Canis lupus familiaris: one gene and its partner. Each later gene encodes a partner of the first gene's protein in a complex. Links are inferred from orthologs where the notes say so. Each region holds a gene or a part of one and is shown in the gene's direction. Other genes may lie near its edges.

What was found. Proteins that work in one complex are often made in the same cells at the same time.
Region 2: KIF11 (region 1) and RBM10 share a complex: the UniProt entries of both Homo sapiens proteins name them as parts of the large chromatin remodeling complex. The link is inferred for Canis lupus familiaris from reciprocal best matches to the Homo sapiens genes KIF11 and RBM10.

Annotation. Positions count from the first base shown.
Region 1 is NC_049249.1:7,211,147-7,214,534, forward strand, and holds the end of KIF11 (kinesin-like protein KIF11), read left to right. Parts: intron 1-1,374; coding exon 1,375-1,494; 3' UTR 1,495-2,790; downstream 2,791-3,388. UniProt on the Homo sapiens protein: Motor protein required for establishing a bipolar spindle and thus contributing to chromosome congression during mitosis. Required in non-mitotic cells for transport of secretory proteins from the Golgi complex to the cell surface.
Region 2 is NC_049260.1:40,973,872-40,977,039, forward strand, and holds part of RBM10 (RNA-binding protein 10), read left to right. Parts: intron 1-58; coding exon 59-235; intron 236-614; coding exon 615-775; intron 776-962; coding exon 963-1,060; intron 1,061-1,146; coding exon 1,147-1,234; intron 1,235-1,851; coding exon 1,852-2,038; intron 2,039-2,148; coding exon 2,149-2,291; intron 2,292-2,411; coding exon 2,412-2,529; intron 2,530-2,628; coding exon 2,629-2,720; intron 2,721-2,808; coding exon 2,809-2,973; intron 2,974-3,168. UniProt on the Homo sapiens protein: Binds to ssRNA containing the consensus sequence 5'-AGGUAA-3'. May be involved in post-transcriptional processing, most probably in mRNA splicing. Binds to RNA homopolymers, with a preference for poly(G) and poly(U) and little for poly(A).

The DNA of each region.
Region 1 (3,388 bases):
TTAAATTTTTTTATTTATTTATGATAGTCACAGAGAGAGAGAGGGAGGCAGAGACACAGGCAGAGGGAGAAGCAGGCTCCATGCACCGGGAGCCTGATGTGGGATTCGATCCCGGGTCTCCAGGATCGCGCCCTGGGCCAAAGGCAGGCGCCAAACCGCTGCGCCACCCAGGGATCCCTAAGCCTATGTTTTTATATCTCTTAGACTTTCAGGTCTTCCCAGCAAGGCCTAAAGATCCTCCATCCATGATTTAAGCTGTTAAAACTTCTAGCTTAATTTCTGTTAAATTCCTCTCTCTTTGTCTCAAGATAATTTTATCCCCAAATCATCCCTGCCTTTTGCTTTATTCTTTACTACTAGAGAACTCTAAATATATTTCCATTTTTCAATCCTCTCTTCTATCTTTAAAGTTAAGGAAAGAAGGAAAGTTAAGAAAAGAGAACCTTAGTTACTACTGAATCCCCGGTTGGAAATCCTTTCATTATTACTGTTTATGGCATTTTGAAGACTAGACTTAGTGGTTGATCTATGGCAGGGAAGGCCCTACAGTATCAAAAAAGACTTGGGATTGGATTTTACACCTTCCGCTGAAGTCTGAAAATTTTTTTTTCCCTGCTAGCAGTCTCATGGAGAAATTTTCTGGGTTTGAAATTCTGGAGGTGGTTTATGATTTGTCTTATCATAGATGACTGGATTCTGCAATGAATGTCATTAGTCTCTTAAAGCCTTCTATGGGCAAGTATGAGAATTCTAGTGAAAAATAATTCCTAAGTGAGAAATATGAAGTAAGTTTTAAAAGAAAAGGTAAAAGACAGTTAAAATGTCTTGAGGTAGCCATCAGATTCTCTGCTTAAGATAGAATTCCTTTTTTTTTTTTTGCATGATATCAAATCTTTGTTTTCCTAGAGCAGGATTTCTTAATAGCAGCACTATTGACTGTTTGAGCTGAAAAATCCTTTGTTGTGGTGGACTAACTTGTATGTTTAACAGCATCCGTGGCTTCTATCCACTAGAAGCCAGTAGCAGTTCCTAGTTTTAACAAACAAAAATGTCTCCAGATACTACCAAATATACTCTAGGGGAGGTAAAATTGCTCTCTGTTGAGAACTACTTCCCTACAGTAAAATCCATAATTTTGCCTTGAAAAATCATGCATAAAGTTAATATTTCATTCACTTCACTCCTTCCATTGATGGTTAGTTGAAGAAGGCATTCATTTCTACTTGACATACAAATTGTTGGCTCCAATTTGTGCTGAGCCTTTTCCACACTTAATTTCTTGCTGATAACTCAGAGAACTTTGAAAATAGAGTATAGCTAATATGTATCAAATGTTACTTTATATTGATTTAATTTCTCCCTTGATGTCCACAGCATAAAAAGTCACATGGAAAAGACAAAGAAAACAGAGGCATTAATTCAGTGGAGAGGCCTAAAGTGGAAGAAACTACAGAGCATTCTGTTACAAGGAGCAGATTACCTCTACGAGCCTAGATAAATCTTTAGTTAACTTGAGGATCGGTAATTCTATTTTTAAGAAAAATGAAAAATAAACCTAGAACTCCAGAACTTGAGCCTTATGTATAGACAAAAAACAAATGGAAAATATCAAGGCAATACTGTATATTTAGTTGAATTTAAAATGTCTACTGCTCATTTTTCTATCATCCCTGTAGTACACTGTGTATTAAGTTGGGTTTTATTTGGGATTTACATTGAGTAAATATGTATTTTTAGCTTTCGACATAAAATAGCCCTTTCCTAACAAATGAAAAATATTTTTCTTATATATCACTAGGCAGCACATATAGAGAAGTTGCACTGTTTTCTAGGCTTTAACTTACATAGGTAAATATTGCCAACTCAGTCTTGGGAAGGCACATCTCTTACTTTTCTTGCTGTAATTGAATTATGTCTAATATCGGCTTACTTCCTTCCCTAGACTTTTCCATTCTGCATTCTTAGCTTGCTTTCTCCTTTTTCATTTGTGTCCAAACCATTTGTAGAGCTGCAAAATGGTATCTATTCATATTATAAGGTATCCTGAATTTTACCTAGAAGTCTTGAACACTTTCTGTGGTGCTATTAAGATTACTGTCAACAATAAACAAATTCTAGAAGTATTCCTTCCTTCAATATTTTTAGTTTGTTTCTCCCTAGATGAAAAGCATTCTTTATGAGGCCTAACACATTAGCCCCCACAGAGTTCATAAAAAGCCAGCTTCTCTAGAATGTAGATTACTCTTATGGGAGAACTACCATAAGATCTCTGATTAATGGCTGTGTGGCCTATATCTTGTGCAGAAGGTCTCAGTGATTTAAGGGCTTTTTGAAACTATTAATTATGACTATAATTTATATCCTTTTGCTTGCTTACTTGAAACTTTTTGTACTTTGTATATAATAAAATATGTATATGTATGTTTTTCCTTAGTGAAATCTTAACCCTTAGAAAGGTCCTAACAGTTTTTATCTAGCAGCCAAATTTCTGGAAGCTGGATTTTTCAGCATGAAGAACAAGCACACTTAGAAGGAATATAGGCAAAGAAAAAATTTTGTGCCTACATCAAGTTAAGTGTATAAATTTTAGAGAGATTTGACTGTGATAGCTAAGTAAAGCCAAACCCAATTGGAGAATTAGAAAATGGCTACTTCAAGGAACTAAATTTACCTTGCAAAAGTATTAATTACCTTAATGAAAATAATGCTGCAATTTCCCTGCAAAATCAGATGTCAACATAAGCTATGGATAATATCTAATAAACTGCCCTCAGGAAATCCATTAATAAATTTGGTTTCTTTTTTTCTTTTTAAAGATTTTATTTATGTATTCATGAGAGGCAGAAACATAGGCAGAGGGAGAAGGCAGGGAGCTTGCTGCAGGACTCGATCCCAGGACTTGGATCATGATCTGAGCCAAAGGGAGAAGCTAAACCACTGAGCTACTCAGTTGTCCCAATAAATTTGGTTTCTGCATTAACTTGCTTGCCCTATTATTTATTTGGCAATGGATCTGTTTATAGAGTTCCAGCAAGTTGTTCTAAAATTCCTAAAATACACTTCCACACAGATAATCACCCAAGATGAAGGACCTTGATAATCCTAGGCTCTTTCAATTGCATTCTAAGGGGCTATACCCTAAGGTAAGTATAAGATTGATGAGAAACAGATGGGTCTTCACAGGGCCTGATGTCCAGCTGTAAGTCATCTGTTTCCTGACATTAAAGGCACCTAGGAATGCTAATACAACTGACAGACAAAAATAAATCACTGGAGAATTTTAAAAAATTTTATTTTAAATAGGCTCCACACCCAACATGGGGCTCAAACTCACAACCCCAAGATGAAGAGTCACATACTCCACTGTTGAGCCAGCGAGGTGCCCCAA
Region 2 (3,168 bases), on another chromosome or scaffold:
TGACCAGCCTTGGAGCCTCCCCCTTTGTCATCGGCCTATCTTCTGCGACCCCTGACAGAGGCAGAGCAGAAGCTGCCCCTGGGCGCAAGGCTGGATCAGCAGACGCTGCCACTGGGTGGACGGGAGCTAAGCCAGGGCCTGCTCCCCCTGCCACAGCCCTACCAGGCCCAGGGAGTGCTGGCCTCCCAAGCCCTGTCACAGGGCTCAGAGCCAAGCTCAGAGAACGCCAATGACAGTGAGTCAGTTGTTCCTTCCTTTCTCCCTGCCCTAGGGTGTCTGGGCCGGGCTCTCCAAGACCAGAGAGATGGTGGTGACCAGGACTTAATCCTCCCAGGGTCTCTGCCTGGCAGGGGGACAGAAGTGATGTAGGGAGAGCAGAGGAGGAGCATTGCCCGACTCGACTTTGGGGGTGTGTTGGGAAGGGTCTCAGCAGGTGAGCGACTGAGCTGGGACTTGGACTAACAAGCAGAGTTTATCCAGGAGGAAGAGGTGAGAGGAAGCAGCAAGGGCAAAGACACAGAGGCCAGAGGAGAGGGGCAGTGGGGAGCCATCAGAGGGGTAGGGCTGGAGCAGAGTGTCAGGGGTGCCCCCTAATGCTGGGCCGCTTCCCACAGCCATCATTTTGCGCAACCTGAACCCACACAGCACCATGGACTCCATCCTGGGGGCCCTGGCACCCTACGCGGTGCTGTCCTCCTCCAATGTCCGTGTCATCAAGGACAAGCAGACCCAACTGAACCGTGGCTTCGCCTTCATCCAGCTCTCCACCATCGTGGTGAGGGCGGCACAGGGGGGGGCCGGGCAGCCAGGGTCCCGGCCCCCGGGGTGGGGAGGAGGGACCCTGACCCACACCCCCCCATTTCACCCCGCGCCACCGCGGCTCCAAGCCTGGCGACAGGGCAATGGAGCCGGGGGCCTCCCCGGGCCTGACCCTTCTGCCCCTGCCTCCCTTACTCCCCCAGGAGGCAGCCCAGCTCCTGCAGATCCTGCAGGCCCTGCACCCACCACTCACCATTGACGGCAAGACCATCAACGTTGAGTTTGCCAAGGGTTCTAAGAGGTCAGGACCCCACCTATGCCCCTTCCTAGCTGGCCCCCCAGCCTGGGGCTTCCCATCTCACTCCCAGTCTCTGACATCCTCCCCAGGGACATGGCCTCCAACGAAGGCAGTCGCATCAATGCTGCCTCTGTGGCCAGTACTGCCATTGCCGCGGCCCAGTGGGCCATCTCACAGGTACTCAAAGACTCCCCTCTGCCCTAGCATCCCCATACTGGGGCCACGGTCTCGACCCTCTCGTGCCCTCTCTGCAACCAAGAGGGCTGGCTTGCTGTCTGGCTTTCCCTGGACCCCAAACCCTTTCACAGTGGCTGCTATTGGCTTTGGGGGCCTTGCTGCAGCTCCCTTCCCAGTCACCTCCTCCCGGGCTTTCAACTTCAACACCATCGTGACTGCTTTTCGCTTGTATTTGGTGGTTATTTTATCGACCTGCATTGTTACAACTTTGTTAATAAAATGGAATTTATAAATGGCTGAAAGAAAATTGGGAGAGGAGAATAAAGAAGGGGAGGACAGTGTCTTCTTGACCTGACAACCCAGCTCTTGAACTATGCCACACACATACCAGTGTCAGCCCTGGGGGTGTTTTGGCACATGTCTTCGGTGGATTCTTGTTTTTGCCGCTGCCCTGCCTTGCTGTGGCTGGGTGGCCCTCACACTTCACTTGTCTGAGGCCTGCATGCTTTCTGTCAGCAGACAGACACTAGCCTCACCTGTGGGCAAATGCTTCTTAGCAGGTTCCCCTCCCCCTGCGCCCCTTCCTCTGCTAATGAGCCCCTCCCACTGCCCCTCAGGCCTCCCAGGGTGGGGAGGGTGCCTGGGCCACCCCCGAGGAGCCACCGGTCGACTACAGCTACTACCAACAGGATGAGGGCTATGGCGGCAGCCAGGGCACAGAGTCATCCCTCTATGCCCATGGCTACCTCAAGGGCACCAAGGGCCCCGGCATCACTGGAACTAAAGGGGACCCATCTGGAGCAGGTGAGGCCCAACATCTGTCTCTGAGCATTTTGTGGGGTTAGGGAGGGTGGCAGGCCCTGGGTCCTGCCTGTTCACAGGCATTCTCCTTCCTTCCCTGTTCTTCATTACAGGTTCAGAGGCCTCCCTGGAGCCTGGGGCAGACCCCGTGTCACTGCAGGCTTTCTCTCGAGCCCAGCCTGGTGCTGCCCCTGGCATCTATCAGCAATCAGCAGCTGAAGCGAGTGGCAGCCAGGGCGCTGCTGCCAACAGCCAGGTGAGGGAGCTTGAGGGGTTCCTGGGTGTCAGGCAGGGGATCTTGGGTTGTTGCGGGGCGTGGGTACAGGAGGCTTTGGCAGACATTGAGTCCTGTTACCCTGTCTGGCCCCATGACCAGTCATATACCATCATGTCACCTGCTGTGCTCAAATCTGAGCTCCAGAGCCCTACTCATCCCAGTTCTGCCTTGCCACCGGCCACCAGCCCCACTGCCCAGGAGTCCTACAGCCAGTACCGTGAGTAGCCATGGCCTGTGGGTGGTAGGGAGGCGGGGAGTTCCTTAACAAAGCAGAGAGGAGTGTGACCCCCCCTCCTTTCTCACTACCCCCCCCCAGCTGTTCCTGACGTCTCTACCTACCAGTATGATGAGACATCTGGCTACTACTATGACCCCCAGACTGGTCTCTACTATGACCCCAACTCCCAGGTGATAGGGTAGCCCAGGGAGTGGGTGGGGTCTGCAGTTCCCCTTCGGAGGTCTTCCCTCACACCCCCCTCCCTCACCCCTCCCCCAGTATTATTACAACGCTCAAAGCCAGCAGTACCTGTACTGGGACGGGGAAAGGCGGACCTACGTCCCTGCCCTGGAGCAGTCGGCCGACGGGCATAAGGAGACGGGGGCCCCCTCAAAGGAGGGTAAAGAGAAGAAGGAGAAGCACAAGACCAAGACAGCCCAACAGGTGAACACTGGGGGTCCAGCAGTCACTGGCTAGCTATTTAATGTCTTCTGATGAATGCATTTCTATCATCTTTAAGCCTTTGCTGCTGAGGGACAGGGGTGGATGTGAGCATGGGAGTGACCATGCTCAAGAGAGACCAGGCTCCTGACCCAGCTCTGCTCTTTGATGCATGACCTTGAGCCAAGGCAGTTGCCT